Stegostoma tigrinum: one gene and its partner. The protein of the gene in region 2 interacts with the protein of the main gene of each other region in a biochemical or structural test. Links are inferred from orthologs where the notes say so. Each region holds a gene or a part of one and is shown on either strand. Other genes may lie near its edges.

What was found.
Region 1: the proteins of rad51ap1 (region 2) and dmc1 form a complex in vitro, tested with the Homo sapiens proteins (2 studies listed by BioGRID and IntAct). The link is inferred for Stegostoma tigrinum from reciprocal best matches to the Homo sapiens genes RAD51AP1 and DMC1.

What each region holds. Positions count from the first base shown.
Region 1 is NC_081391.1:988,652-1,005,426, forward strand, and holds the start of dmc1 (meiotic recombination protein DMC1/LIM15 homolog), read right to left. Parts: upstream 7,228-16,775; 5' UTR 7,166-7,227; intron 1,539-7,165; 5' UTR 1,493-1,538; coding exon 1,436-1,492; intron 1-1,435. UniProt on the Homo sapiens protein: Participates in meiotic recombination, specifically in homologous strand assimilation, which is required for the resolution of meiotic double-strand breaks.
Region 2 is NC_081378.1:34,608,201-34,625,400, forward strand, and holds the start of rad51ap1 (RAD51-associated protein 1), read right to left. Parts: upstream 10,388-17,200; 5' UTR 10,306-10,387; coding exon 10,289-10,305; intron 1-10,288. UniProt on the Homo sapiens protein: Structure-specific DNA-binding protein involved in DNA repair by promoting RAD51-mediated homologous recombination.

The DNA of each region.
Region 1 (16,775 bases), on a different chromosome or scaffold from region 2:
GGAAATACTCATTAAATGGCAGCACACAAGGATGAAGAACAAAGGAATCTTCCGATGCTTGTCCAAAAATTACTGAAAGTGGCAGAGCAGGTTAATAAGATGACTAACACTAGCCTCTATATCAGTCAAGGCATTGGTTGTAAAAGCAGGGAAGTTATATTGGAGTTGTATCGAACATTGGTTAGGCTACAGCTGCAATAGAGCATGCAGTTCTGGTCTCCCCACTACAGGAAGTACATGATTAGAAAGGAATGCTGCCTAGAATCGTGTACTTTAGCTATGAAGACAGGCTGGATAAACTCAGATAACAAGGTGTAGAGCTGGATGAACACAGCAGACCAAGCAGCATCAGAGGAGCAGGAAAGCTGACGTTTCAGGTCTAGACCATTCTTCAGAAAATTTTCTAGACTCAAAACATCAGCTATCTTGCTCCCCTGATGCTGCTTGGTCTGCTGTGTTCATCCAGCTCCACACCTTGTTATCACAGATTCTCCAGCATCTGCAGTTCCCACTATCTCTAGATAAACTGAGATTGTTTCCTTTCGAGTAGAGAAGGTTGAGAGGGGAATCTGATAGAGCAGTATAAAATTATAAGACACATGGACAAGGTGAACAGAAAGCAGCTGATCCTTTTAGCTGAGTGATGAATAACAAGGGGGCATAATTTTAAGGTGAAAGGTAGGAGGTTCAGAAGGGGTTTGAGGAAAAATATTTTCATGTGGGGGTCTGGAATGTACTACCTGGCAGAGTAGTTGAGGGGCATAATCTCACAACCTTTAAAAAGTACATAGTTAAGCACTTCAAATGTCATAAAATTCAAAAGTCGGCCTCATGCTGAAAATAGGATTATTGTAGACTTAGCGTCACTTTTGCAATACCAACTTGATCTTCTGTACTGTATTATTTCAACCCCCAGCCAAACTCTAACCAATCGTACCAGCAAACCTGCTTGGAAGGATGTTTCAGATTTCAAAAAGGATTGTTTGTGTTGCATTTGCATCAGCCTGTCTTCAATTAAGCTGCCTACTTCTCTGCCACTTTCTTTGTGCTCTCACATGCTGATCTAGCTCTGTAATCAAAAACCAACTAAGACATGATGAAGGGTCTAGGCCCGAAACGTCAGCTTTTGTGCTCCTGAGATGCTGCTTGGCCTGCTGTGTTCATCCAGCCTCACATTTTATTATCTAAGACATATTATTGATTCTTTGACCTGTCTCTCTCTCTCTCCATTGATGCTTCTTGGCATCTAAATATTTCTAGCATTTTTTGTTTTTATTTTCAGACTTTCAGCATTCACATTATTTTTGCTCCTGTATTTTTCTTTTTGTTAACTGTACACTTATAAAAGAAGAATACAAAAAGAGGTTTCATATTTTTGAGCCATGATACACTATCATGGAAACAATCTTAGATACTGCAAGTAATGTTACTGTACCTCTTCATCCTGGAAGCTAACTTCCTCCTCAACCACCTGATCCTCCATGGCCTTCATTGTTGCAAACAAATGCAAGGCACTTACTTTAGAATCAGTTGTATTGCTAAAAGCACAAAAGAGCAAGACAACATTTCATGAATAAAGATAAACCTGAAATTCTATGGAACGTTTCATAATCTCAGGAAACCCCGAAGCTCTTCAATGCCAATTAATTATTTTTGAAGTAAACAAAAACAACGTTGCCGGAAAAGCCCAGCAGGTTGGCAGCATCTGTGAAAGAAAAGACGGAGTTAACATATAGAACATAGAACAGTACATAGAACAGTACAGCACAGAACAGGCCCTTCAGCCCACAATGTTGTGCCGACCATTGATCCTCATGTATGCACCCTCAAATTTCTGTGACCATATACATGTCCAGCAGTCTCTTAAATGACCCCAATGACCTTGCTTCCACAACTGCTGCTGGCAACGCATTCCATGCTCTCACAACTCTCTGCGTAAAGAACCTGCCTCTGACATCCCCTCTATACTTTCCACCAACCAGCTTAAAACTATGACCCCTCGTGCCCTGGGAAATAGTCTCTGGCTATCAACTCTATCTATGCCTCTCATTATCTTGTATACCTCAATTAGGTCCCCTCTCCTCCTCCTTTTCTCCAATGAAAAGAGACCGAGCTCAGTCAACCTCTCTTCATAAGATAAGCCCTCCAGTCCAGGCAGCATCCTGGTAAACCTCCTCTGAACCCTCTCCAAAGCATCCACATCTTTCCTATAATAGGGCGCCCAGAACTGGACGCAGTATTCCAAGTGCGATCCAACCGAAGTTCTATAGAGCTGCAACAAGATCTCACGACTCTTAAACTCAATCCCCCTGTTAATGAAAGCCAAAACACCATATGCTTTCTTAACAACCCTGTCCACTTGGGTGGCCATTTTAAGGGATCTATGTATCTGCACACCAAGATCCCTCTGTTCCTCCACGCTGCCAAGAATCCTATCCTTAATCCTGTACTCAGCTTTCAAATTCGACCTTCCAAAATGCATCACCTCGCATTTATCCAGGTTGAACTCCATCTGCCACCTCTCAGCCCATCTCTGCATCCTGTCAATGTCCCGCTGCAGCCTACAACAGCCCTCTACACTGTCAACGACACCTCCGACCTTTGTGTCGTCTGCAAACTTCCCATCCTTCAATTCCCTCGTCCAAGTCATTAATAAAAATTACAAACAGTAGAGGCCCAAGGACAGAGCCCTGTGGAACTCCACTCACCACTGACTTCCAGGCAGAATATTTTCCTTCTACTACCACTCGCTGTCTTCTGTTGGCCAGCCAATTCTGTATCCAAGCAGCTAAGTTCCCCTGTATCCCATTCCTCCTGACCTTCTGAATGAGCCTACCATGGGGAACCTTATCAAATGCCTTACTGAAGTCCATATACACCACATCCACAGCTCGACCCTCATCAACCTTTCTAGTCACATCCTCAAAAAACTCGATAAGGTTTGTAAGGCATGACCTACCCCTCACAAAGCCGTGTTGACTATATTTTCTTTCAGAGATGCTGCCAGACCTGCTGAGCTTTTCCAGCAACTTTGTTTTTGTTCCTGATTTACAGTGTCGGCAGTTCTTTCGGTTTTTACTTTTGAAGTGAAGTTCTGCCAGTGCTCTAATATAGGAAGTCCTAACTGTAGTTCTATTCTGCTCCCAGCCAACCCCTCTCAACTCACTCCCTCCTCACCCCACCCACCATCCCATTCCCTCTGGTCATCCTGCTGCCCCAATCCCCCATCCCACTACTTTACCCTCACCGTCCCACTCCCTCCCCTCATCATGCTCCGTTTCCACTCATGCCCCCCCATCCTGCTCCCAGACCCCCCCATCATCCTAATCCCTCCCCCTCATCTACTGTACACCATTTCCCTTCCTCACCCCTAGCCTTCTTCCTCATCTCTGTCTCACCACTTTCCTGCATTGCACTCTCCCCCTTCCTTGTTTTCCCCCTTCCCTTCATCCCTCTCCTCTCCCGCTTTCCTTCTCTCATCTTTCCATCCTCGTCCCCCTTCACTCATCCCCCTCTACCCCCATTTCCTTTTCTCACCTTTTCTTCCGCTTCACTCATCCCCCCTCCAATTCCCTGGTTCCACTCTGACCCTTCCCTCGTCCTATTCTCCCCCAATTTCCTTCTCTCGCCTTCCCCCCAATTCCTCATCCCCCCGTCCTTCCTTCCTCGACCCCTCTCCAGGCCTTCACCACCTTTCCCCATGTCCCCCTCTCCGTGCCCCCACCCCCTTCCCTTCAACCCCTCTCTACACCCAATCACCTTTCCCCTCGTGCCCTTCTGTGCCATCCCCATCCACTTTTCCCTTCATCCCCTCTCCACCACACCCACAACCTTTCCCCTTGTCCCCCTCTCTGCTGCCCCGCAACCCTTCCCCTCGTCCCCCTCTCCGCCACCCCAACAACCTTTCCCCTTGTACCCCTCTCCGCCGCCCCACAACCTTTCCCCTCAACCCCCCTTCGCCATGCCCACCCACCGTTATTCTCGTACCCCTCTCTGCTACGTGGACCATGTTTCCCTTTACCATCCGCACCTCCCTACCCTCATCCCTCTCTCCACACCCCCACCTTTCCCCATGTCCTTCTCTTCACCTCCCCAACACCATTCTCCTCAGCCGTCTCCAACCAGCCCACACCTTTTCCCTCATTTGTCTCCGTCCCCCCACATCTTTCCCCCAACTGTCTCTCCCCCTTCATTCATCCCTGTCTCCCACCCCGGTTTCACTCATCCCTCTCAGCCCCCTTTCAATCAGCCCTTTCTCTTCCCCCAACCATTGTCCCTCATTTCTCTGTCTGCACGCCCAACCTTTGCCCTCATCCCTCTGTCCACCATCCCACCTTTCTCCTCCCCACTCTCCGTACCCTCCTAACCCCTTATCCCTCTAGCTACATCCCACCTTTCCTCTCATTCCCTCTGTTTGCAATCCGTGGCCTTCCCCCTCATCCCTCTGTCCACTGCCCTAGCCTTTCCCCTCATCCCTCTGTCAGCCATCCCACCTTCCCCCCTATACTTTCATTCATGTCTCCACACCCCACCTTTCCCCTCGTCCCACTCTCTCATCCATCATTCATTCCTCTCTTGCCACCCCACCACATTTCCTCTTTTCCTTCGCTCTTCCCCTTCATTCATCCCTTTTTCCTGCCAGTTTTTTCTCATCCCTCTGTCCACTTCCCTCACCCAACCCTCAACCTTTCACCTAATCTCTCTACCGACCTCCCACCTTACCCCTCTCTTTCCATTCATTCAACCCTCTCTCTTCCATCCGCCCTACCGTTTCTTATCCCTGTCTCTTACCCCACCCCGACCTTTCTCCCATCCCTCTCTCTAGCCCCCACCTTTTCTCACAGCTCCCTCTCTTTTCTCTAACCACTCCCCCATTTCTCTCAGCTCCACCTTTTGTCTTATCCGCATCTTATTTCTCTTTACCCCATCCCCAGCTTTTCTCTCTTCCATCTCCCCTTCAACATTTTCTCTCATCCCTCCCTCTCTCTCCCCCTATTTCTCTCATCTCTCTCTACCCCACCTTTTCTCTCTCCCACCCAGCCTTTCCCATCCCTCTCTGCTCCCCATTTGCTCTCACCCCTCTACCCCCTTTCTCTCATCTCTCTCTGCCTCCTTTTCTCTCATCCTTCTCTTTCCCCCAACCTTTTCTTATCCCTCTCTCAACCACCTTTTAATTACTCCCTCTCTCGCTCCCCAACTTTTCTCACAGACCCTTCTCTCCATCTTTTTTCTCTACCCCCACCATCTTCTCTCATCCATCTCTTCAACCTGCCTTTTCTGTCATCCCTCTCTCCACCCCCATTTCTCTCATCCCTCTCTTCTTCACTTTCCCTTCATTTCTTTACTCACTTTCTTTCATTCCCTCCTTCTCTCTCACTCTATGCCCCCTTTTCTCTCATCCTTCTCTCTCCGTGCTACCTTTTCTCTCAATCCTCTCTTCCTCCACCAACTTTATTCTCATCCCTCTCACACCCCCTTTCCCTTATCGCTTTTCTCTCAACTGTCTCTAGGCTCCCCAACTTTTTCCCTCATCCCTCTCTCCCCCAAACTTTCCCATCATAAGTGGCAGCACGGTGGCTCATGTTCGATTCCAGCCTTGGGCAACTGTCTGTGCGGAGTTTGCACATTCTCCCCGTGTCTGTGCGGGTTTGCTCTGGTTTCCTCCCACAGTCCAAAGATGTGCAGAGTAGGTGGATTGGCCATGCTAAATTGCCTGTAATGTTCAGGATGTGTGGGTTATAGGGGGACGGGTCTGGGTGGGATGCACCAAAGGGCAGTATGGACTTGTTGGGCCGAAGGGCCTGTTTGCACAATGTAGGGAATCTAATCTAATCCCTCTCTTCCCCCACCTTTTCCATAATCGCTCTCTCCCCCCACCCTTTTCCCTCATCCCTTTCACCCCCCACCTTTTCTCTCTTTTCCCCCGCACCTTTATTCTCAATCCTCTCTCTCTCCCCCAACACATTTTCTCCCATCCTCTCTCTCGCTTTTCCCCACCCATCTTTTCCCTCATCCCTTTTCTCATCCCTCTCTACCCCCCTTTTCTCATCCCTGTCTTCTCCCTTGTTTCTCCAACATTTTCTCTCATCCTTCTTTCTCATTCCCAACCTTTTCCCTCATCTGTTTCTCTCCACCCACCTTTTTTCTCATTTCGTCTCTCCACCCACCTTTTCTCTCATGCATCTCTCTCCTCTCCCTTTTCTATCAAGCGTATTTCCCCCCCCCCCGTTTTCTCCCAGGCTTTTCTCTCATCCCTCTCTTTGTCTGCTTTTCTCATTCCTTTTCTCTCGCTGCACCTTTGCTCTCATCCCTCTCTCTCTCTCCTGCCACCTTTGATCTCATGCCCATCTCTCTCCCCTTCACCTTTTATCTGATCCCTCTCTCTGCTCCCCAACATTTCCTTCATTCCACTCTCGCCCCACCACTTTTCTCTCATCCCGCTCCCCCCTTCCTTTTCTCACATCTTCCTGTCACTTCTCCACCTTTCTCTCATCCCTATCACCCTCCAACCTTTTACCTCTCCCCTCTCTCCCCCCACTTTTGCTGTCATCCCTCTCTCTCTCCCCCAACCTTTTCTCTCATCCCCTACTATCCCCCACCTTTTAGTTAATCCTCTCTCCCGCCCCCCACCTTTTAACTAATTCCTCTCTATCCCCAACAGCACCTATTCTCTCATCTTCCTCTCATCCCTCTCTCGGACCCCTCGCTTTTACTCTTATCCCTTTCTCCACCACCATCTTTTCTCTCACCCCTCTCCACTCCACTTTTCTCTCCCCCTTCTCCACTCCACTTTTCTCACATCGCTCTCCTTCTATTCCTCTCATTCCTTTTCCCCACCCCTTTTCTCTCATCCCTGTTTCAGTCCATCCCACCGTTTCTCTCATCTCTCTCGCCACCCTTTTCTCTCATTCGCCCTCTCTCGCTCGCATCTTTTCTATCATTCCCCCTCTCTCCCCCACACCTATTCTCTCATCCCTCTTCTCCCCCACTTTTCTCTCAATCCCCTCTACTTTTTTCTCTCTTCCTTTTCTCTTATTACTCTCTCTCCCCCAGTTTTACTCTCTTTTTGCCTCATCCCTCCCTCCCACCACCTTTTCTCTCGTTCCTCTCTCCCCTCAGCTTTTCTCTCATCCTTCACTCCCCCCCCCCCCGCGGAGCCCCTTACCTTCGCGGCCCCAGCTCTCTAAGTTTGAAGACTGTTTGGCACTCCCGCCGCTCCTATTGTTGGTCTTCATCACGTGTTCGCTATTTGAATTTAGGCGGCCGTTGGTTTTGGTGGGAATTGCGCTCACCGTCCTCCCGTGGACCGTGCCCCCCCCGGAAAGGCATTTCTTCGAGTGTTGCACAATAAACCAAATTTCTTCGGAAATCAAGTTGGCATAAGAAAAGTTAAAGGCAAGAACTCACTTATGGGATTAGTGTGTATGTCCTCTAACCATAGCCATACAACAGAAGAAATAAATCTATCAGAAGGATAACGTGATAGTCATGGAGGAATTTTTAATAGATATAGACTTTGAAAATCAAATCGGCAAAATAGCTCAGAAGATGAATTCATAGAATGTTTTCAGGGTAGAGTCACACAGCATGTAAACCGACCCCTTCGTCCAACCTGTGTACGCTGATCATAATTCCAAATTATAATCGTCCCACCTACTTGTACTTAGCCCATATGCCTCACAACATTTTTATTCATGTACTTCTAAATCTCTTTTAAATGTTGTAACAGTATCTGCATACTCTAAGGTTTTGGAGTAGATTTGTAGCTCGGGTTGTGGATGTTGAGGTTGGTTGGCTCGCCAAGCTAGTTTGTTGTTCTGCAGGTGTTTTGTTACCGTGCTTGGTAACGTCCTCAGTGCAGCTTCTGATGAAGCATCAGTGTGTTTCCCTGTCTGGTTTTTAAACTCTGGGGTGGCTTGCGTTGGATTGCCTCACTTGCGGATTTCATCTGTAGTGGAATGTATATAGGTTCGAGTTCAATTTGTTGAGTAATAGGATGCTTCGTGGAGTGCCATGCTTGCAGGAAATCTCGTGCTTGTCTGTGCCTAGCCTGTCCCAGGATCTTGGTGTTGTCCTAGTCGAAGTCATGGTTCTCCTTGTCCATGTGGATTGAGATGAGTGAGTGAGTACTGGTCGTGTCTTTTTGTAACCAATTGCTGTTCATGTACTCTTGTTGTTAGTTTCCTTCCTCTTTGTCCAATATAGTGTTTCTTGCAGTCTCTGCAGGGGATCTTGTAGATGACATTGGTCCTGTCCATGGCAGGGAGTGGATCTTTAGTTCGGGTGAGCACTTGTCGTAGGGTTGATGTGGATTTGTGTGCAACTCTGATGCTGAGTAGTCGTAGAAGTCTTGTGGTGAGTTCTGATGTGTTCCTGATGTAAGGTAGTGTGATGAGTGTAGAATCTTTCTGATGCTGTTCCTGTAGGCATCTCCTGACCCAGTTCTTTGGATGTCCATTATCCTTGAACACTTGGAAGAGGTATTCCTCCTCCTCTTGACATAGTTCATGTTGCTGCAGTGTGTTGTTGCCCTATTAAATAGTGTTTGCACGCAGCTTCATTTGTGTGTGCTGGGATGGTTACTATTGAAGTTCAATACCTGGTCTGTGTGTGTGGCTTTTCTGTGTAATCTTTGATAACTTCTCCACTGCCCACTGTATCACCAAGTTTGGTGTCATCCACAAACTTGCTAACCATGTTTACTATATTTTTATATAAATGTCAAACAAAAGTGGACCCAAAACCAATCCCTGTGGAACACTCCTGCCACGGGCCTCCACCATCACACTTTGTCTCCTGCCATTAAGCTAATTTCATAAGCAATTGGCAAGCTCACCCTGAATTCCATATGACCTACCTTTACTAATCAGTCTACGATGCGGAACCTTGTCAAACGTTTTACTAAAGTGGAAGTAAAAAACAACTACCGCTTTGCCCTCACTAATCTTCTTGGTTACTTCATCAAAAAACTGAAAATCAAGTTTGTGAGACACGACTTACCTTGCATAAAACCATGCAGACAATCCCTAATCATTCCTCGCCACTTCAAATGCATATAAATCCCATCTTTCAGAATCACTTCCAACAACTTGCCCACCACCGAAGTCAGACTCGCAAGTATACTGTTTCCAGGATTCTACTTACATCCCTGTTTAAACAAAGACACATTAGTCATTCTCCAGTCATTTGGCACCTCTCCTGTATTTATAGATGATACACATATTTTAGCAAGGGACTCTGCAATGTCCTCCTTAACTTCCCACAAAGTCCTGGGATAAACTAGATCATGTCCTGGAGATTTAACCAATTTTAAGTTTTCTAAGATCTCTAGCACTTCCCCTTCTATTATGTGAATGGTTTTCAAAATATCAATATTTATTTCCATGAGTTCCATAGCATCCATTTCTTTCTCTACAGTAAAAACTGATGCAAGATATTAGTTTAATATCGCTCCCATCTCCTGAAGTTTAACACAAAGACAACTTGTAGTATTTTTAAAAACAGTATGTACTGGTATGAATCAGAGAGGAAGTCATATCGACTCGAATTTGTGCAAAAAGATAGGATTAATTAATGACTTAATAGTCAACCTGCCCTCCTATTAGCAGCAATAATAATATGTTTGAATTTTACATTCCATTTAAGGGAGAGAAGAGTGTGGGGTCCAAGACTAATATTTTTAATTTATACAATGACAATTTTGAGGGAATGAAAACAGAGCTAACTAATGTGACTGGCAAATTCGGTTCAGGAAAATTCAATAGAGATGCAGTGGCAGACGTTTAAAAGGATATTACACAGAATGAATAAATAGAACTTTTCTTTCTTGTTAGAATCTAATGAGAAAACCGACCATCCGTGATTAATTTAAAAAAAGTTAAAGTTAGTATCAAATCTAAAGAAAAAGAATAATTACTCAAAGAAAGGTTTGAAGATTGAATAGAGTATAAAAAATGACTAAAAGACTAATAATAAAGGAAGTACAAGGGTAAGCTAGCTAGAAATATAAAAACTGTTGATAGTAGTTTCTATAGCTACTGAAAAAAGGAAAAGAATTAAAGTGACTGTTATTCCGATAAAAAGTGAGTCTGGGGAACTAACAACAAAAATTAAGGAGATGGCATATTATTTGCATAGTGATAATGGGAACTGCAGATGCTGGAGAATCCAAGATAACAAATTGTGGAGCTGGATGAACACAGCAGGCCAGGCAGCATCTCAGGACCACAAAAGCTGATGTTTCGGGCCTAGACCCGATGAAGGGTCTAGGCCCGAAACGTCAGCTTTTGTGCTTCTGAGATGCTGCTTGGCCTGCTGTGTTCATCCAGCTCCACACTTTGTTATATTATTTGGATAGGATTTTTGCATCAGTCTTCGCTGCAAGGGATGCAAGTAAACTCCCAGGAACAGCGATAAATAAGAAATGGAGGCGTGGGAGAACCTCAAGAAACTTACAATATCCAAGAAAATGGTTCTGAGCAATATTTTGGAGTTGGTAGCTGACAATGTTCCTGGATCATGTTGGACTTCATAGAAACATAGCATTTGTGAAGAAATGTCTAGTGAGACAGTTGTTGCATTGTTAAGTTTTCCAAAATTTACAACAGTCAGTTATGCAATGATAAATAGTTGCAATCCTGTGCAACATCACATTGTAGAAAATCATGCCATAGGAATAATAAGGCCTATAGGAAAAGCAGACTATCAAAATATATCACTTAAAATTGCTCAAAAATCACTCAAAAGCCTAACACAAAGGATAGCACAGTCTGAATAAATGTTTAACTCATATCTAATAATGAAACAAATGTAAATTTAACACCTTACCTTGAAAAAATGTCAAGGTGACTTAATGAAGGAGGAGGTGTTGAGGTTGCTCTGTTGCTAATGCAGGTGCTGAGGGTCATCATCATCATCATCATTATCACCACCTTCAGGTGCAGTTGTGGTTGCAGGGTTTGGGTGAAAAATAGTTAATCCAGAAGTGGATGGCCACGGTTCATTGTTTTCCGACTATTTCTTGGTGGTTGGTCTGAAGAAGACATCCAGTTGTTGTCACTTTATCCTTATTCTTCTATCATGAAGAAGCTGCAGATAGGGTGCCAAATAAGATCTTATTCCACAAACTGCTACCCTGCTGCATTCTGCATTGTACTTGTTGTCCTGGAAGACCTGCAACTGCTTCTCAATTTCTCTCAGGGTAGAAGACAAAACAGAAGTGGAAAGGTCTTGTGGTGCTGCGTCTGGGACTTCAGCTTCTTCATCTACAGTTTCCACTTCCCTCTCAATGACAAGTTGTTGTAGATCAGCTGTACAGAGGTCTTCACAGTGGGACTCGAGCAGCTCTTCAACATCCTCACTCTACACTTCTTCAATTCGAACTTGCTTTGCAAGATCAACACGATGTTCTTTGAATCTTAGGAGTTCCTCTGACAGATCAAAGCTTTTAAAACCTTGGAAAACATCTGGGAGAAACTTCTGCCAAACTGCATGCAAGCTGTTGTTACTGACATCATCCCAGGCCTCCACGATAATGATAATTGCGTTCTTGACATTAAAATTCTTTCAAAATTGAAGAACACTGTTCTTATCTTGCTATTACACCCTGGTCCATGGGTTGACGGAGAGAGGTGGTCTTTGGGCATCGAAATAGCACTTTGATGTTTTCAGAAAGCTCACCAATGGTGGGGGGATGGCCTGGCGCATTTTCTAGGATGAGGAGAATCTTGAAATCCAAACAAGTTTTCCTGCAATACTTTCTAAAAACATCAACAATAAGGTCAGAAAAAAATTGCCCCATCGTCCAAGCTCTTTTGCTTGATCTAAAGTAGACACCTAAAGTAGAATTAAGATAACCTTCCGAGGCTCACGAGTTGGCAGAGTGGTACACCACCACAGGCTTAAGCTTTAAGTGACCACTGGCATTGTCACTCAGCAGCACAGTCATACGATCCTTTGTCAACTTAAAGCCTGGAATGTGTGCTTCCTTCATAGAAATGTAGGTTCTTGATGGCATTTGCTTCCTATATAAACCTGTCTCATCAAAATTGAAAATTTGATCTAAGTTGTAGTCCTCTTCAACAATTTTTTTTTACAATGGGAGGAAATGCCATTGCATGTTCATTGTCTGCACTGGCTGCTTCGCTACATAACTTTATGTTATGAAAAGCACAGTGGTTCTTAAAACCAGAAAACTAGCCAGTGCTAGGACTAAATGCAGGCACACCTTGCAGGGTTTTCAGTTTTTTTTGTTAGATCTTCATAAATTAATAAAGCTTTCCCTTTTATGGTGAGAAAGATGGTCCAAGATCGCTTTTTTGTTTGATCTTCTATCCACACACTGAGAAGCCACTCCATCTACTCAAGTTCCTTTGTCCACGACCTCCCGGATTTGGTAGCACTCTGACTTGTTTGAGCAATACAGTTTGCTTTAATCTTTTCTACATTGTCTTTAATTGTGTGTAAGACAGACTCCTTTTTTCCTGTTACATGAACTATGTCACATGTTCTCTCATTCCGCTCAAAACGCTTTATAACTTCTGGCTTCTCTTCCAGTGTTACAGCCTTTTACATTCACCATTCATAATTCTAACATCAGGACACTTCTTGCTAACATTCTTGTCACTTTGTCCTTGTATTTTTGTGGGTAACACGGCAGAATTTGCAAGCGCAAAATGAAAATCACAGAGTGCTGTACCTCTCACAGAAATCACCACGACAAAGTATGCAAAATGATCATATGATGCCTGCGTGGAGACTCTTTCAGTGCCATCATTGCGCTTATTCAGGACAAAGCCGTGAAACAATCATGAGATCCCTGAGCGGAGACTCTTCTGGCACTAACATTGCACGTGTTTAGGACAAAGCCCGCAAAACAATCATGTGATGTCAACACTCCTCTGTGTACTGATGGAATCATGTTATAGCCAACACAAGTTTGCACTTTAGAAATAGCATTCCCCTATTTGTCAGTTGCATTATAGCCAATTTGCATTGCCCAAATATGCATTATAACAGAACCAACTGTACACTGGAAAGTGTACGGCTTGATGAACGCAGCAGGCCAAGCAGCATCTTAGGAGCACAAAAGCTGACATTTTGGGCCGGAAGGGTCTCGGCCCTAAATGTCAACTTTTGTGCTCCTAAGATGCTGCTTGGCCTGCTGTATTCATCCAGCTCTACACTTTGTTATCTCGGATTCTCCAGCATCTGCAGTTCCCATTGTCTCTGTACACTGGAAAGTATCACATTTAACTCTTCTGTTCAAAAGTAAATTCAAAGTAGACATTTATGGTGTAGGGTGTATTCACAGTATACATTAAGGATTTAGATGAGGGAACTAAATGTAATATCTTCAAATTTGCAGATGACTAAAGCTTAGTGGGAGGATGAGCTACAAGGAGGAGTATGAAAAGTGCAGGGGGAATCTCAAGAAAGCACTTAGGAAGTAAAGATTGGCATGGAAAAAAAATACTGGCAGGCAAGACTTGTGAGAATCCCAAGATATTCAACAAGTATGTCAACGGGAGCAGAATAACCAGGGAAAGAGTAGGGCCTGGTAGAGAAGATGGACCCAAGATCAGCCCACAGCAAAACCTCAAAACAAAGGCGAGCTTTGGCCAATTGTTCTTTAGAATTCAGGCTAGCCAGGCATTGTAGTTGCTGCTGTGAACTTGAGATAACAAAGGAGTCCCATGAGGCCTGATTTGAGTTAGGCAACTCATAGATCAGTATCCAGGAGTGCACACCCTGGCAAGTTTACCTGCATGTGGTTTGGAACAATTAAATTGCTTCACAACATCCAAATCAAAACCAATCAATTAAATGTCTGGTTAAGTGGTCACCCAATTCTAATGGAGGTCAATACCAGCACAGCTTTATCAGTGATCGCAGAACCAGTTTTTAACAAGATTTGCTCTGGACTCCAACCCTTACATTTGGTTAAATGTTTCTCCCAGGTGGATGTATGCCTTGGAAGAGAAAAAAATGTGTGTTCCAAGCACCCCAAGTAACCTACCTGGGCTATAGAGTTGACAAGACTGGGTTACACCCTTTAGAAGAAAAAGTGAGGGCAATCAAAGATGCCATAGCTCCCAGGTCTGTACCAGAGTTTAGGTTGTTCCCTGGGTTTTTTATTTCCCCGGTGAATTATTATGGAAAACTCATCGATAATCTGGCACCCTGAAACCTGCTATTGATAAAATGTCAGCCTTGGAAATGGTCACATATCCAAGAAGTAACCATTAGGGAAGTGAAAAAGCAGCTATCATCTAAGGTCTTGGCTCATTACAAACCTACGCAAGATGCGCTACTGACATGCAATGCCTGCCTGTATGGTATCAGCTAAGAGTCGGTTCAATTGTAGCCCAATAGATAGGAAAGCCCGATAGCGTATGCTTCCTGGACTTTGGCTGATGCCGAACACAAATTTGTCAAGATAGAGAAGGAACGTTTGGTGGTCATTTTCAGTGTGAGAAAGTTTCATTTATACCTTTACGGAAGTAAATTTGTAACAGCAACCGACCACTGTTAGGGATATTTAAAGGCGGCAAGGTCGCGCCAACCCAGTATGGTTCCTGTTTGATTATAGGACCACCCTCATACAACTACACGGGTTGCTCCAGCAGAATTACTGATGGAGAGAAGACTCCGGACCAGGTTAACCTGATATTCCCACAGCTGGAGGGTGAGCGTGATACGGCATCGGGACACCAATGCTGAATACAAGACTCCTCTAAATAAGAGAGACAATTTACTTCAGGGGACCAGGTTTGGTGTTGAAACTCAGTAATGGCCCTGCAAGGGTATGAAGCATTGGTGATGTGATATCAGGCCTTGTGACATGCAAGGTTGTGGTAGGTGAGGCAGTCCTGAACAAACATGTGTATGACACTAAAGCTGTTACCTCAAAATTGGGCAGGAGCAGAAAGTGCCCTGCCCCTTAGCTCAGCCGGTAAAGCTGTCAGAGACACATTGGGTTCTCCCTCTCCATCTGGCGTTGAAGAAACTTCAGAGTCAGAGATGGATGCAGCCAATGTTGCAGTCTTGATACTGTTACCACTTGAAGAAGAAGAGAAATATCTGCTGAGATGGTCCAGGTGCAAGAGACGGTCAGACAGTCTGGTACACGCCATCCATTTACAGGGCTGAGTTAGAGGAATGGACTTGGGGTGAAAATGTTCCAGGAGAAGCCACAAGAGAAACAACATGCCTGCATCGCCAGACTTAGTGTGGGAGGGATTTAGTGGTTGGAACGACATTGGCTAGGTGGATCCATCGAGTATGCATTATCTGACTGGGGCTGTTAACCTGGGTCAATCAGGAAGTCCTGGCTGACAGATATAAACAGAAGTCTCAGGATTCCCCTCATGTTAGGGGCTGGCTCTGAGCTAGCTGGTCAGAGTCCATATTCCTCCATATTCATGTGCTTATTTAAATATCCCTTCGATGCCCCTATTGTATTTATTTATCCATGCATTTATAGAACATAGAACAATACAGCACAGAACAGGCCCTTTGGCCCTCGATGTTGTGCCGACCTGTGAACTAATCTAAGCTCCTCCCCCTACACTATCTCATCATTATCCATATGCTTATCCAAGGCCTGTTTAAATGCCCCTAATGTGGCTGAGTTAACTACATTGGCAGGCAGGGCGTTCCACGCCCTTACCACTCCCTGAGTAAAGAACCTGCCTCTGACATCTGTCTTAAATCTATCACCCCTCAGTTTGTAGCTATGCCCCCTTGTACAAGCTGAAGTCATCATCCTCGGAAAAAGACTCTCACTGTCCACCCTATCTAATCCTCTGATCATCTTGTATGTCTCTATTAAATCCCCTCTTAGCCGCCTTCTCTCCAATGAGAACAGACCCAAGTCCCTCAGCCTTTCTTCATAGGGCCTGCGCTCCAGACCGGGCAACATCCTGGTAAATCTCCTCTGCACCTTCTCCAATACTTCCACATCCTTCCTGTAATGGGGCGACCAGAACTGCACGCAATATTCTAAACGAGGCTGCACTAGCATTTTGTACAGTTGCAGCATGACTAATCCACCTAGCCTGAATATTCGTGGACACTACAGGCCAGTTTAGCATAGCCAACCAACCCAACCTGCACATCTTTGGTCTGTGGAGGAAACTCAAGCACCTGGAGGAAATCCATGCACACATGCGGAGAATGCAAACTGAAGATACAGAAAAGGGTGGAGGCAATGACACATCTCTGCTTGAGCTTAAATGTTTCTGTTATATTCTGCGGGTGAAGTCTGTCATCAACATCTTGAAGGCGGAGGCGACGGAGCATGTTGATGAAATTCTCTGCACAGATGGCCTTTGATCTGGTATTCCATGGCACCTCCCAACTAACAGAAAAAATTCAGAAGGTTCAGAATTAATCTGCATTTGGAGAGGCAAAGATTAATCACGAATATCATGGTTTTCTTAATGCAGGTTATATCTGACCAACTTGATTGTACTTTTTTGAACAGTGACCAGGTTTGTAGATTGAGGGCAATGTTTTAGTTGTAATCAACTTGAACTTCAGCAAGACTCTTATGAGTTATAACAGAAATCTCATAATCAAATGCTGAAACAATTATTTAAACTCTATTGCTTGTAGCAGGCAAAATATGACCATTCAAGTAAGCAAGTTGAGCCTCACAACCCAACTTAATCATTACCCAATTAATGGTGGAACTTAGATACAATTCCAACTAAGACCATCTGTCTCTGGATGATCCTTAAGCAGTGTGGCTCTTCAGAATTCTGCTGAAGAAT
Region 2 (17,200 bases):
AAGAATTGGAATAACTTAATTCTATTGGAAAACTTAACAGAATAGAAGATTATTTAACTACTAAACAGCAAATGTTCAATATCATAAAATCCCATTTACACACCCTTGGCAAAGGCAAAGTCAGTTAAACAGATCATCACACATGTGATTCTGGCAATAGAAAGAGAACCTAAGCTTTTAGCTATAACAGAGAAAGGAGTAACCGCTCCCTCAGCCAACTTCAAAACCCAATAACTACTGAAAGCAAAATTAAAACCCTAGTCCTTTGGGACCCGGCTCCCTCTAATCATGCAGTTTCTATGGTTCCAAACCTCGCTCCAAAAAAAACCAACAAAATGCACCACTAAAAGCCATAGTATCGTCACACAGATAGACATCAACATCATATAGAATAGAATAGAACAGAACAGAATAGCCTTTTTGTCACTTATACTCAGTGAGTACAGTGAAAAGTTTATACCACGCCAATTACAGAACTGACTGCGATACCAAAGTACCTAGGCACTGCTTCTTTAGTTAAAAGATCTTAGGCAATAGAAAAATAAAATGCCCAGCATTACAGAAATAAAGTTTAGTACAACACGCCACACTGACATTAGCTTCCAGTCCGAGTGAAATACTCAGGCTTCAGTTGAGGAAAAGTCAACATGTGATTTTTTGGGGTTCTTCAACAATAGCTCTTTCATCTTTAAACTAAAATCCTTCCCTATACTCTCATATTTGAAAGCAATTCTCACACTTCCTGAATGACACACTCACTTTTTCTCATCCTAGTGGTAACATTATTACCACCATAAAACTCTCATTTCATCACAACCAAACTTTTCAACCTATGGGGCGGCACGGTGGCTCAGTGGTTAGCGCTGCAGCCTCACAGTGCCAGGGACCCGGGTTCAGTTCCAGCCTCGGGTAACTGTCTGTGCGGAGTTTGCACATTCTCCCCGTGTCTGCGTGGGTTTCCTCCGGGCGCTCCGGTTTCCTCCCACAGTCCAAAGATATGCAGGCTAGATGGATCGGGCGTGCTAAATTGCCCATAGGGTTCAGGGGTGTGTGGGTTATAGAGGAATGAGTCTGGATGGGATACTGCAAGGGGCAGTGTGGACTTGTTGGGCCGAAGGGCCTGTTTCCACATTGTGAGGAATCTAATCTAATCTAATCTATAACTCTGCTCACGCTGCTAACAATGCCTGATTACCACCCCTAGACTATCTCTTCACTACGCAAATGTCCTCCACACACTTTGCCCACAGTTATAAATCCTTTTACCAAATGCTCTTGTTGTGAAGCCTTTCCAAGAATCATTATACATTTCACTGGATGCTGTCATTTGTACAAATGTGCAAAATCCTGCTCATTTTTCCTGTAGACAACATAAATGGCATCTCCATTCTAGATCAGATAGGCCTGTTTCTTCTCTGCTTAGGATTTCTCAGTGACTGCTCCATTGGTGTTTGTATTTCCTAACAATACGTCACTGATCCAGCACTTTTCAGTTCTTAAATTAACTTTTTATTCATTCTGTGGGCATCCCCGGCTGGCCAGCACTTATCGGCCATTCCTACTTGCCTTTGGGAAGGTGTTGATGAGCAGTTTTCTTGAACATCCTGTCCACGTTCTGTCAGTAGACCCACAATGCCATTAGGAAGTGAGTCCCAGGCTTTCGACTTAGTGACGCTTAAGGAACATAGAACACAGAACATAGAACAGTACGGCACAGAACAGGCGCTTCAGCCCACAATGTTGTGCCGACCATTGATCCTCATGTCTGCACCCTCAAATTTCTGTGACCATATGCATGTCCAGCAGTCTCTTAAATGACCCCAATGACCTTGCTTCCACAACTGCTGCTGGCAACGCATTCCATGCTCTCACAACTCTCTGCGTAAAGAACCCGCCTCTGACATCCCCTCTACACTTTCCACCAACCAGCTTAAAACTATGACCCCTCGTGCTAGCCATTTCTGCCCTGGGAAATAGTCTCTGGCTATCAACTCTATCTATGCCTCTCGTATCTGAGGTCAGGTATAATGAGACGCGCAGTGACCTCCGCACCTTTACATCGTGGGTTCGATTCTCCGATGGGTCCTACCTTCTGCTGTTGTCTTCATGGACGTGAGATCGAGAAATTGCCTGAAATCCATTGGCCTTCAACATCAAGTGGGGAATCAGCAAAGCGGATGGGAGGATGGGGCATCATCTGTTGCCCCAATTCCACCTCCAGTTACCCCATTCCCCCTCAGATATCCTCATTTTCCCTCAGTTACCCCCACTCTCCCTCAGTTACCCCCACTCTCCCTCAGTTACCCCCACTCTCCCTCAGTTATCCCCACTCCCCCTCAGTTACCCCCACAACCCCTCAGTTACCCCATTTCTGCCTGTTACCCAAACAACCCCTCAGTTACCCCATTTCCCCCTCAGTTACCCCCACTCTCCCTCAGTTACCCCATTCCCCCTCAGTTACCCCACAACCCGTTACCCCATTCCCCCTACTACCCCCACAACCCCTGTTACCCCATTCCTCCTCAGTTACCCCCACAACCCCTCAGTTACCCCATTCCTCCTCAGTTACCCCCATAACCCCTGTTACCTCATTCCCCCTCAGTTACCCCATTCCCCCTCAGTTACCCCACTCCCCCTCAGTTACCCCCATAACCCCTCAGTTACCCCCACAACCCGTTACCCCCATTCTCCCTCAGTTACCCCACTCCCCCTCAATTACACCCACAACCCGTCGGTTACCCCCACAACCCCTCAGTTACCCCATAACCCCTCAGTTACCCCACTCCCCCTCAGTTACCTCATTCCCCGTCAGTTACCCCCACAACCCCTCAGTTACCCCATTCCTCCTCAGTTACCCCCACAACCCCTCAGTTACCCCATTTCCCCCTCAGTTACCCCCACTACTCCGCAATTGTCCCATTCCCCCTCTGCTACCCCTGTTCCCCTCGGTTACCCCCAAATCCCCCTCACAAACCCGCCCACCAGTTACTGGGCCTCAATTGCAAGACATTTCCAAGTCAGGATTGTGAATGGCTTGGAGGGCAACTTGCAAGTGTGGTGTTCCCATTTATCTGCCAACATTTGTTTTATCTATTCCCATTTATCTTCCAGATGGAAGTGGACATGGATTTGGATGATGCTGTTTAAGGATTTTGGTAAATTCCTGTAGTGCAGCTTAGATAAGCCACATTAATGCTACTGAGCATCAGAGGTGGAGAGAGTGATATTTGTGGATGTGGTACCATCCACAATGATGTCAAGCTTCTTGAGTGTTCTTGGAGCTGCACCTATTCAGGAAAGTGGGGAGCATTCCATCACACTCCTGACTTAGACAATAGGCGCTGGAGTAGGCCATTCAGCCCTTCGAGCCAGCACCACCATTCATTATGATCATGGCTGATCATCCACAATCAGTATCCTGTTCCTGCCTTATCCCCATAACCCTTGATTCCACTATCTTTGAGAGGTCTATCTATCTCTTTCTTGAAAGTATCCAGAGAGTTGGCCTCCACTGCCTTCTGGGGCAGAGCATTCCATATATCCACCATTCTCTGGGTGAAGAAGTTTTCCTCAACTCTGTTCTAAATGGCCTACTCCTTATTTTTAAACTGTGTCCTCTGGTTCTGGACTCATCCATCAGCGGAAACATGCTTCCTGCCACCAGAGTGTCCAATCCCTTAATCTTATACGCTTGTACTAGATGGCAAAAAGGCTTTGGTGAGTCAGGAGATGAGTTACTCATTGCAGTATCCCTAGCCTCTGCATTGCTCTTGTAGCCACTGCATTGATGTAGTGAAGTCCAGTTGAATTTATGGTCAATGGTAATCCCGAGGATATTGACAGTGGGGGAATTCAGGTGATGGTGATATCAATGAGTGTCAAGGAGCATTGGTTAGATTGTCTCTTATTGGAGATAGTCATGGCCTGGCATTTGTGTGGCACAATGTTCTATGCCACTTGCTAGCCCAATCAAGGATATTGTCCAAATCTTGTTGCATTTGAACAATGGACTGTTTCAGTATCTGAAGAGTCGTGAATGGTGCCGAACATCATCACTTCTAGCCTTTATGATGGAAGGTCATTGATAAACACCTGAAGATGGTTGAACCTAGGACACTATTCTGAGGAACTCCTGAAAACATATCCTGGAGCTGAGATGACTGACCTCCAACATCAAAAATCATCTTCTTGTGTGTCAGGTATGATTTCAACCACTGGAAGATTTGCCCCCTTTACCACTGATTCCAGTTTTGCTAGGGTACCCTGATGCCACATTCAGTCAAATGAGGTCTGGATGTCAAGGCTGTCACTCTCACCTCACCGCTGGTATTCAGCTTTTTTGTCCAGGTTTGAACCACGGCTGTAATGAGGTCAGGAGCTGAGACCCTGACAGAACTCAAATTGGGCATCACTGCCCAGATTATTGCTGAGCGGGCACTGACTGATAGCACTATTGGTGACACCTTCCATCACTTTACTAATGATTGAGTGTAAATCAATGCGGTAGTAAATGGCCAGGTTGAATTTGTCCTGCTTTTTGTATACACCCGTTCCCTGTTCCATTTAGCACCAAGCTAGATTATAACAGATTCTCTTTTCTTTTGTAAAAATAGATTAATATGCATGCAACAACAGTGAAAAACTATCAGAAAAACACAAAACAACAACATATTGAGTAAAATGACATTATTCAATGTTCCTACATTTTTAAATGTACATTAGAGTTTCAAACATCCACTTTTCTCGAATTTCAAATAGTCTCTTGGAGCTTACTTATTTCTTCATAAAGTAGTCAGAAAACAGACTGCTTCTTTTTGCCTATTACAATTTGGAAATTTCCCTGTTTTCTACATCTGTTTTAAAACTGCAATAATGATCTTCAGGCTTACCTCATTCACACATTTTATTGAATGTACATTATGCAATACTGATTTATCATCAATGCAGCAGTCAATGGGTATTGCTGCAAAATCCCTTTTTTCAAATACCTCCAATAATTTCACAAGGGAAAATACTACATCGACTGCCTCAACAAGAGCAAGGAGATTCTGCTAAGGTAATTCTTCTGAACTTTTGAAGCTACCCAAACTAAAAGGGTAATATTTGCCTCCGTCTCCCAAAATAAACATTAAAAAATTTCCTGTGCTTGGAACAGATAGAAACTTGTATAAGAAGCATCAGTAGAAACATTAAGTTTCACATTCCTGGTTTCCACCAAGGATGGAAGTTTGAAAACACTATGCATCATTCTTAATTTTTTTCGATGCTTTGTTCATCCAAATAATATCTTCCACTTTGGGGTTTTTCGCTGTCAACTCCTAGGCCTCAAAATTAGCATATGACCTCATTTAGATGTCCAGCCAATTTAGCGGTCCAATTTGACTTCACAATTCCTCCATTGCATTTGGAAGATTCAGCATCTTTTCCCTACTTTGACTAACTGTGATGGAGTTAACATTTTCTAAATAAGATTGTTATGCAAAGCAACACTCCAATCACTGGGTCTGATTTTCAATCCAAAACTATTTGACCATAGGAACTAGGAGCAGAAGTAGGCAATTCAGCCCTTCGAGCTTCATCCACCATTTGATATGATCATGGCTGATCTCATCTCAGCCTCCACTCCACTCTCCTGCCTGTTCTCCATAACCCTTCATTCTATTAGTATTGAAAGATCTATCTATCTCCTCCCTAAATTTACTCAATGTCCTGTCATCCAGTGCACTCGGGAGTAGTGAATTCCACAGATTCATGACCTCTGAGAGAATTTTACTTCATCTCTGCCACCTAAAACTGTGACCTCTCATTTTAGACTGCCCCACCTAAGCTGTACATGCATGAACTGCTCAATTTTGCTTCATAAGACAAACCTGTCATCTCTGGAATCAATCTAATGAACCTTCTCTGAACTGCCTTCAATGCAATTACATGCACTTCATGTTAAGGGACATAAAATTGTATGTAATACTCCAGGTGCGTTTTCACCAATGCCCTATACAACTGCAGCAACACTTCCCTGCTTTTAAGCTCAATTCTTTTCTCAATGAGTGCCAAAATTCCTTTTGCCTTCTTTATTACCTGCTGTACCCTGCATTCTAGTTTTCTGCGATTCATGCATGAGGACTCCCAGATCCCTTTGCACCGAAGCACTCTGAAGCTTACTTCATTTAAAAAAGTAAGTTGCCTTTCTATTCCTCAGACCAAAACAAGTAACCTCACACTTATCCACATAAAACTTCATCAGCCAAGTTTTGGCTCAATCATATTTAATTGTAAATTTCTTGTTTCTTCATTGCAACTTACTTTCCCACCTATTTTGGTGTCGTCTACAAATTAGGCTATAGGATTTTCTACATTGCATCCAAGTAATTAATATAGATTGTAAATAGTTGGGGCCTGAAGTCCAAACTCTGTGGTACCCCAGTGGTACCCACAAAAAGACCAAGAAGCCTGGCTTCCAATTTTGAATTCTGCTTGAAGCCCAATTATGACGATGTTGTCAAATTCACGGCACTCTTTCCTCCAGACTAAAAAAAATCAACTGCATGCACAGTAAGGATGCCCAAAAATTACCCCCACCACCCACTCCTCCATGGCGCTGGTAAAACAGGGCAGGGCTGGCTTCAACAAGATGGACCTTCCTGAGAAGTACCAAGCTCTAGAGGCATCATTTAGACAATCTACACCTTGATTGAACTTGCGGAGTGTTCCAAAAAGTGTTCTGTTTTGGATGGCAAAGAAACACTCTTTTTAGCTGAACTCCCTGCAGAAATACAACTCTAATAAGAATTGATCTACATTCCCAAGTATTCGCTGCTAACAAATAAAAGAAAATCTTCAAAATTCCTATCCTGAGGTGCATCTACTTTTGCCCCAGTTTTACTCCACAATCTCAATCCACTAGCTTGGCTTGAGTCTTGTAAGTCCCGTTAGAAGACATCTTTTCTAAGCATATTCATCTATGATACAGTGCTGGTGGTCCCCTATCTACCACCTCTGCGTACACGTGAAATTCTCTCAAGACTTTGTAGTGGCTTCTTTATGGCAGATTTTATTAACTCATCTTTCAACTTGTTTGTAGCACAGAGACTTTCTGATCGAATGGGCTTCTGTTCTTGGTAACATTTCTGGTCCTTGACCTTTATAAGCGGTATCCTCTATCTTGCTTACTAAACCTTTCTGAATAGCTACTGTTGTGATCTCTTTGTCTATTAATAGGATTCTTTCCAACAGTTCATGATCTCTTTTTAGGGACAAGTTGACTTCAGAACCACTGCATGAACTTACACAGCCTTTTCTCACCTTCACTTCTTGTACCTCCTGCTCCCAATCCATGGGCTAATGTCTTGTTGGTTATTCTGTACAATCGTAAAGGTGTTATACTCTCCAGTGGCCTTACTCAATCTCCTAATTATAGTCCAGTTTTTCCACTGACTAGCCCCTTGTGGCACAAATATGACTTTCGTACCCACTTTGGTAGCTGTCCTTTTGATAATCTGAATTAGTCCATCCTTCAGTAAACAAATTGTCAATGTTAAAAGTCTGATCCACATAGCTGTGTAATATATGGTCACGAGAAGTATCAGGATCCCCTATCCTGTTCTTTAACTCCTTTAGAATCTATAAATTTGAAATTTACACCAAGCAATTCTTGAACGATGTTCCCAAGCAACCTTGTCCCTTGCTATACAAATATTGTTTCTCCATCCTTACCAATAACCTTTCCTAGGCATCAGTGGCTCAGTGGTTAGCACTGCCATCTCATTGTGCTAGGGATCCCAGGTTCGATTCCATCCTATGGCAACTGTCTGTGTGGAGTTTGCACATTCTTCCCGTGTCTGTGCATGTTTGCTCCCACAGTTCAAAGATATTCAAGTTAGGTGAATTGGCTATGATAAATTGTCCAGGAATGTGTAGGCTCGGATGACTAGCTGTGGGAAAGGTAGGGTTACAAGTATAGGATAGGACAGTGGGTCTGGTTGGGATGGTCTTCAGATGATTGGTGTGGACTCATGGGCCAAATGGCTTGCTTTCACACTCTAGAGATTCTACGATTCCACTACTATTTATGCCCCTCTCTTTCATAATAAACAACATCTCCTTGATTGAAACTGGTTTCCAATAGCTTTACACCATACTTTAAAGATTGCTGGATCCTTTGTGAAACTGTCACTTTATTAAAAGCCTGTCTGCCTGCATGTAGTGCCTTCAAATGTTCAACACAGTAAAGTTAATTGTAGACCCTTCACAAGCTGGGTGCTGATGACTTATAATGGATAGAACTTAACGATATGTAACAACTACTAAATGATTTGGACTATATTTTACGATCATCTGCAGTGAATTCTTGACATTGCCAGCCATGCTCGTGCAGACGATAGAATTTTGGCAGACCAAATCATAAACAATGAATCATTTTGTCTATTACTGCATAGTTCCTTTCACATAGCCTGTCGGTAAAATGGCTTCCTGCTGTCATATTCAGAACTGTTAAGTTCATATTTCTGCATATATCTTGTAATTTATCACGGGCAAATTACCCCCCATTCTCAGATACTCATTCTCAGTCCACGTCCAGTCCCACCCCCATTTTCATTACTTGATCCATAATTATTTTCATATTTTTACTATGTGTTATTGTTGATTGATTCAATCTGGTTGCCAAACCTATATGTAACATTTTTCATTCTTATCCCACATCTTTATGTCCATTACCACTATCTCGATGAAGTACCTTGCTCACAGCAGACCTACTGGAGGCATGACAGCGTCCTTCAATATCTTACATCTATTACTTAACACTTCGACAAACTTGTAACATTCCTCATTCCGTGTTCCTGAATCATTTACTAAAATTTTTAACCTTTTGGCGGAGGCATCAACAAATTGCCCACGTTGTTTTAACACAATTAACTATTAGTCTTTTAAATTTCTATCCCCTGATGTCAATAACACTTCTTCAAAATAATTTACTTAGTAGTATCTGACCAGCATAAATTGCAAAGTTACAGGATTTTCCAAATCCATTGACTTTCTTACTTTCCATATCCAGTTTCATATACACTTATTTTTATCAAAGGCTTACTCAATAACATCAGTATTGAATGGAACACTGAAAAAATGATTTAATTATAGCTATTTTACAAGGAGTAATTACTCTTTTTAAAACAAGATTTTGTACGTTATTTTCTCCAAATGTGAAGCTGGTAGAATCTCAAATTCCTTGCCTTTGGTCCAACCCTTATTTATCAGAGAGTATAGGTACCAATTTAATCATCTACTTCACCCAGTGCAGACCTACAGCCACCATCTAATACTTTGTAGCTCAGTTCTTGTCCACATTCCGGAAATTGTAATTTAATCCTCTTACTAAATCGGCTGTTTCAGTATCTGTTAATGGTCAGTCAGATAAGTTTTTTATCCATGCTTCTGTGTTGTTATTTTGTGTGAGTTTGTCTAGTTTTTTCTGCAGCTGAGCTACAAACCTTCTCAAAACTCACTAGCTGTCTAATACTAATCAACTGAAAGATTCTGCCACCAACACATTCGTCATTGGGCTGAAACTTCTTACGACCATAAAAAGGCCCCTCTTTGATCCATGTATCCACATTCTTCTTCTGAATCTTTGAATATTCTACCATACTTTTCATGCTAATTCATGGTGCAATGTTACTTTGAATCACACCTGAAACATTACTTGACTGAACTCTGTGCATTTATGGGGTTCATTTGTCTAATGTAAGTCCCAAATTCTCTTAGCTTCTAGAATTCAACAAAAGCATTTCTGTCCTTATTTCTCCTCATTCAAATTCTTCTTTCGCACCTACATCTTGATCTTTAATGACATTAAGACTTCCATTTTCTTTTGAATGGCTGATTGCCCCATTTGCAACATGAAAACAGATGGAAAACACTGCTTTCCAAGTATATTTATTTTATCGTGTTTCTGACATTTCTTCTCAGAATGTGTTTATCTGCATATTTAATTTCTGTCAAACCTAGAAGTCTATCTGGATTTGACAATGTGAACTCGTCTAATAGCTGAAATGCCAGCACAGATTAGAGAATTTTCAAATATAATTTCTGCAGTCCTGCACACCATGTACTAAATTCTACGACTGGTCTTTTGTGGAGCAATGTTCCCTCGTCCTGAATGTGAACATACCACCGTCGGGTCTCTCCCCGCCACCAAGCCTCTCCCAAGGTCCACCATTTCCCCCACACCCCAGGATGTCGCCTCCATATTCCGGGCCTATCTCCTCGATCATACCCAGTTAAATCCACTCACCTCACCGGCCTGGCCATCGCTCTCCCACAACAACAGAGCTTGAAGCAAAATGAGAAATAAATCACCCGCCAACACACGTCAGCGCCCAGCCGCACATTCACCACAACTGTAAAATTACATTTACCGTTTAAGGAATTACACAATAAAAGGCAAAAACAAAAAACGTTTAAAAAATACTGAGGCTCGTATGCAGTTAAACAATTCCGCTTCCTAGCGCTCCGTAAATACTCAGACGATATCCTACCGAATCAGCTGCTTGATATTGAAACACGCTTTTTAGAAAAGGTGCTTTGGGTTGCAGCTAGTTCCTGTTTGGGGAAGGCTTTGGCTACAGGTAATGGTCAGATTTATTAATTGTCGCTTCCGAGAAGGAAAAATGCCTTTTGCTCAATATTTGCAGGAGGAGAATATAATGTGTAAAACATATGAAGAGTTTTTAAAAAATATTTCAGTTGTATGTACCATACGTCTGTGCTTTGTTTGTGTACATACATGAGTAGATTGTATCCTAAAGTTCTTCTTCCATTTTCTCTTTCTGTAAAGCATTTATTAATTCAGACACCTCGGTTAAGTTGCAGCTTTCTCTCTCTCTTCTTCGCCCTCCCCATGCATTATAAATACGCTTGATAAGAACAATTGTGGAGGGCGTTTATAGAATCCAAGTTGTTGAAGTCATTGTCATTATGGAACACTTGTAGTTTTTTCTACAACACTTTTCCTGGGCCCATATTATTAACAGCATCTTGCTTGAAGAATACTCAATTATGGAATATTGGTCAGCATCTGCATTTACTGAACCTACAGAATAAGGTCTTCTATTTTCTTCAATATGCTCATTTGGCTAGAACTCAGCAAAAAAATCCACTAAGAAAGAATTTTGGTAACATCCTCTGAATGCTGGTAACTAAATCTATCTGTCAAATGGCATGTTAAAAAGATACCTATTGTACTTTAAAGCTGGATAAACAAGATTAAAGTTCAGTGTTGTCAGGCTAGTAATTTGTGTGAAACTGTGGCACTTCAGAATTAATTATCAAACTGGTGAGATGTAGGTTTTTGTAAGCGCCCTTCAGAATCCACAATCAGTTCTTTCTGTTCCCACTTTTAACATAGCCAGATTGTAACACACAATCCTCATTACATTAGGAACTTATACCAATGATAAATGACATACCTTAGATCAACCTCAGATAGCTGAAAATAATGGTATTGAAATTATAACAGGAAAGGTACTCTGCACAAATGGAAATTGCTGGAGAAACTCAGCAAGTCTGGCAGCATCTGTGGAGGGAAAGCATGGTTAGTATTTTGTGTCCAGAGACCCTTCTTCAGCACTTTCTATTTGAGTTTCAGATTTCCAGCATCCACAGTTCTTTGTTTTATTTCAAAGTATTCTGCTTACATTGTCAACTGCAATAATAAATTTACATCAAACAGCTAGAAAACGTCTGAATGGAGTTATTTTTTATTCATTGATGGAACGTGGGCATTGCTGGCTGGACCAGCATTTATAATGTATCCCTAGTTGCCCTCGAAGGTGGTGGTGAGCTGCTGTCTTGAACTGCTGCAATCCATTTGGTGTAGATACCCTCAAAATGCTATTAGGAAGGAAGCTCCATGATTTTTGACCCTGTGACAGTGAAGGAACAATGATATATTTCCAAGTCAAAACAATGAGTAAGTTTGGAGGAAAGCTTACAGGTGGTGGTGTTTCCACATATCTCTTGCTGTTGTTCTAGTCAGTAGTGGTCATGGGTTTAGAATGTGATGTCTAAGGATCAGTGTTGCAGCTACACTCAAAGGTCTTCACTTGGGATGTGACAAATTCAGTTCTATTCTGGGAACATTACCAGGACCCATAGCTTTAGCAGTATCCAGTGTCTTCTACCATATATTGGTGTCACATGGAGTGAATTGTGACCCTGGGAACCTCAGAAGAAGGCTGAGATGGATCATCCACTTAGCATTTTTGACTAGAGTGTTTCAGGCACTTAAGTCTTACCCTTTTCACCAATGCTGTGGCCTTCCCCATTGTTGATGGGGATACTTGTGGCACCAGCTCCTTCAATGAGTTGTTTAATTGTCTACCACTGTTCACCACTGAACGTGGCAGATATGTGCGCAGTCTATCCCATTTGGTAGTGCCATACAACATGATGGAAGGTATCTTCAGTATGGAGATGGGACTTCATCTCCACAAAGATTTTGCAGTGGTCACTCCTGCTAATTCTGCCGATGACAGATATTTCACACAGGCAGATTGGTAAGGATCAAGGAAAAACAAATATGTTTTTTGGTGCTGGAAGTTGAAGTCTCCTACCAGAGCAGATTCAGCATCCTTTCCACCTTCTTTGCTTCCTCCCAAATTCAACGTGGAGGAATACTGAATCATCGTCTGATGGGGGTGATATTTGGTAATCAATAGGAGATATCCTTGTCCATGTTTTATCAGATGCAATGAGACTTCGTGTGATCCAGAATCAACATTGAGGACTGATGAACGACTAAGGATCCTGGGATTATACTCATTAGAGTTTAGAAGGTTGAGGGGAGATCTAATAGAAACTTACAAGATAATGTATGGCTTAGAAGGGGTGGACACTGGGAAGTTGTTTCCGTTAGGCGAGGAGACCAGGACCCATGGGCACAGCCTTAGAATTAGAGGGGTTAGATTTAAAACGGAAATGGGATGACATTTCTTCAGCCAGAGAGTCGTGGACTTGTGGAATTCATTGCCATGGAGTGCAGTGGAGGCCGGGACGTTAGATGCCTTCAAGGCAGAGATCAACAAATTCTTGATCTCACAAGGAATCAAGGGTTACAGGAAAGTGCAGGGAAGTTGAAATGCCCATCAGCCATGATTTAAATGGCGGAGTGGACTTGATGGGCCAAATGGCCATACTTCCACTCCTATGTCTTATGGTCTTATGGACTCCCAGGGCATGTCACTGTGCCACCACCTCTGCTCTCATTCTGATAAGACAGAATATGCCCAGAGTGGGGATAGTATCTGAGACATTGTCATCAAGGTATGTTTACATGGTTTTGACTTTGTCAAACTGCTGCTTGTAAGTCAGTTCTCCAAGTTTTGAACAAGTGCCCGAATATTGGTAAGAAGGACTTTACAGGGTCAACGGGGCTAACTTTACTGCTGTAATTTCCTATGTTTAGTTCAATGCCAGATGGTTAGTGTGATTTCATTTTCTTTTGAGATTTTTTTAAATGATTTGATACAATTGAAAGGCTTCCTAGGCCAATTCAAAGGACAACTGGGAATCAAACACATTTCTTTTTTGTGGAGTTACATTTTAGATGGATCAAGTAAGGATACCAGATTTCCATTCCTAAAGAAAACTCATGATCCAGAAAGGTTTTTATCTTATGACAATTGAGAATGGAATTGACAATTCCAGATTTCATTGAAATCAAATTCCACCCTCTGTCCTGGAACCTAGAACATTACTTGGGTTTCTGGATTACTAAATCAGAGACAATACCTGTAACATCATTTCTTCCCCCTGTATATTCCTCCTCTCAGAACAGATTTATTCTGATGGATTTTTTAGATTGTCTGTCTTTCTATTTTTAAAAAAATGTCTCTTGAACTATTATCTTGCCTTATGTGAAGTATTTTAAAAGAATGTAAAACATTGCAGTTACTGAAAATCAAAAATTTTTAAAACGCTGGAAATATTTAGCGGGCCTGATATCGGCTGTGGAGAGAGAAACAAAGTTAAAATTTCAGGTCTGTGACCTTGCTTCAGATTTACGATCGTGGTCAAGGAGAAGCTAAAATTCAATTAAGTAAGGTGGAAGCAATAAATGGAAAATCCCTTGGAGTGAGGTGGGGTAAATTTTCAAGAGGAACGTTCCTAGAAGAGAGGTCATAGTGAATTCAACACTGACAGCAAAGAAAAATACTACAGTGCTATATTCCAGGTGAAGCAGGATGCCCAGTGTTGTAGAAATAAGGACAATGATCTTCTGCGGTTTATAAGGTAAGTGCCACTACTTTTGCTCTGCCATCTTGCACTGTCAAGTCCCCAACTTACTTAAACTCTGCCACTGCGCACATGTCTCATCAATGCTAATAGACTACAACTCACCACTGACCTTTCTTCCATCTGCTTTCATCTCGGTCATTCCTCCCTGTCTTATTGTCGGAAAAACTAGCCCATAAATAGAAAAGAAATCCAAGACCAACTGTAGTTGAGTGGTGGCTGACATCAGGTTTCTTGCTTTCTATAAAGAGAAAATTCTAGAGTTAGCTGGGGAAAAGCACAACTGCTTGTGAAGCCAGGAGGCCCTCAATGGCCATCCAGCCCATTAACCTTTATCCTTCTTTGACAACTAATTCTCTCTCTTAGGAGTGAGCTGGTGGTATCCAGCTCACATCCAAACCTGAGAAGGAAGCCATTCAACTCTGAAAATGCATTGGAAAAGCACCCGCCTGCACTCCCCCCACCTGTTCAAAGAGAATACCCTCAGTGGATATTCTATTGAGAATAGACCCAGGATCCCAATCTAGCGAGCAGGTCTTTGCATCTGGTCAAAGAGATGTCCCAGGAGTTAGCAACCAGACAACAGCTGCAGAGCAAGCAGTTGCTAAGTTTTGGGCAGAAGATGTTCAAAAGGGCATGACGATTTAATTATTGTGAAAACGAACAGCAGGATGGATCTTCAGAGGCATTCGCTGAGCTGGATACAGTACACATATATCTGACTGACTGCATGGAAAAGTTGGTGACTATCATGGTTACCAAGTCCTCCATACTCTGTCTGCCAGATGTTTGCAGGGATCTGCATCACATCTCCTTACCTATAGGTCAACATCAATAACAAGGAGAATGGGAGGACAAGGGACCTTAACATAACCTGAAGTGCTGCTTCCTCTCAGAAAGACCAGGCGGTGCCAGTTGGCACACGTCGAAAGAAGTTATCACATACAGGATACAGCAGAGGTGCCTCCCCGACCGCCCCAGCCCAAAAGAAAAACTGTGACCCTAAAGCCTGCAGAAGTTCAAACTGAGGATAGTGAAAGGACACTCTCTCAGCGGACCTGGGCTAATAATGCCAAACAGCACCTACCGTATAACCACTCAAGATATCCATGCCAACTGGACTAGCTACAAAACTGGCTTCCGCTGTCGCGAAGTTACGACTGCTGTTTGCACCCAAAGGAAGAAAAAGAATTAGGGTGCATCATTCACTTTGTTTAACTGGGCAAATGAAAATATATTTACCAATGTACTGCAGTATAATTTTGTATGTCAGACTTGGTTAAGTCTCACATCCATGTGGGAGATGGGTACCCTCTTCAGATATCTCAAGGATGAAAGAAGTTACAATCCCAAGCGTTGACAAAATGAATTCCCAGAGCTTTACCTTGATTCTAAAGAAAACAATACTAATTTATTCCATCCAATTTGTGTGAGGTGAGAGTCATTTTGTGTGGTTATTGTACAGATGGCTTTTGATCCAATGTGGCAAGGTTCCAATTTTCTTTGTGAGACAAACGTGCAGGCTCCACCTGTGATGTAAGATATTTCTCCCCAGCCACCTTGTTCCCTTGAGTGTTGCTTTTCCTGTAGTCCCATAACCCCTCAGCTTCCTCCCATTTCAGTTGAGCCCTTTAATATTACAATTAATGTTCCCACTTTACCTCCAGACCCCATCACTTTTGGAAATTCCCTTCCCTTGGTGGTCCTGCACACTCACATGCAGAGGCCATGGTGATCGTGACCTGTGAGAACCTTGCCACCTCCCAGAACACCCAAACAGTTCCTGCTATCTATGAGGTCCTACTTTTCTATCCAAAATTTCCCTCTATCACTGTGAATGTTCTTTCATCAACCCTGCGCAATGAACCCCATTCCCAGGATTGAGTTGCTCACTACAGCCAGGACTCCATGGACTGCTCCCTGATAAAGTGACTGCGGCAGATCCCTTGGACTGACATGACAGGACAGCCCTGGCAGTTAGACTGATACCTCTACGGCACCCTGACCAATGCATGCTTAATTCTCAGTCTGCTTGTACTTGACCTGCATATTGACTTTAGCCTGATCCACAAAGTCTAAGTATTCTAATCCCTGGAGTCTGCAAGGCTAAGAACCTGACTGACTGACTGTGGCCAGCCCCTTGATTAACAGTGGAGTAGTCCCCCTTGATTCCACTAAGTACTGTTTCACTTTGACTTTCACAGATGGCAATTTGCTTAAAGCAAATGCAGCGTGTTTTCTGTGAGAGCTGCTGATGAATACTGAAGGTGTGATTTTATCTGTAATTTTTGTGTTTTTAGCTTGGCTTATGGTTTTTTTTCTGACCATATATTGTGTAGAGCTGTAATGCTAGTTTTCTTTTGGTTTCTTTTCTTAATTCCAAATATATTCTTTATTCTTTAAAAAAACTTTGTGGATATATACACATTGTACAGAACCGAATTGCATTTGTGACAATTGCATATCAAATGAACGAAACAAAAGCATTGAACTTTGACTCTGTTGAACTCTCTTATAAATACAATATCAATTTTTACATAGATTTGAGACACTGGGAGATTCCAATAACTGAATGGACCCCCATTTACTTTCAGCAGAGACACCTCAGACAGTGGTCTTTCCCCACTGCGCCTTGGTGGCGGCTGCCGCAACTTTAGTGCGACCATCAGCACATAATCTTCATTTCTGTATTCTGCAACTAAGGATTGTACCTAGGTACCTTCGTACCTAAAATGGTGCTGTCAGTGCCGACTCAGTCATTTGAGTACGTGTAACAATAAAGCTAATTCATTTCCAGTCAACATAGCATGATGTAGCGGTGCCCACTTACCCATTCCCTTAACTGTTTAGTACTCCCACCTTCTGTCTCTTTCCGTGGAAAAAGTACTGCAAACCACTTGCAGCCTCGCAG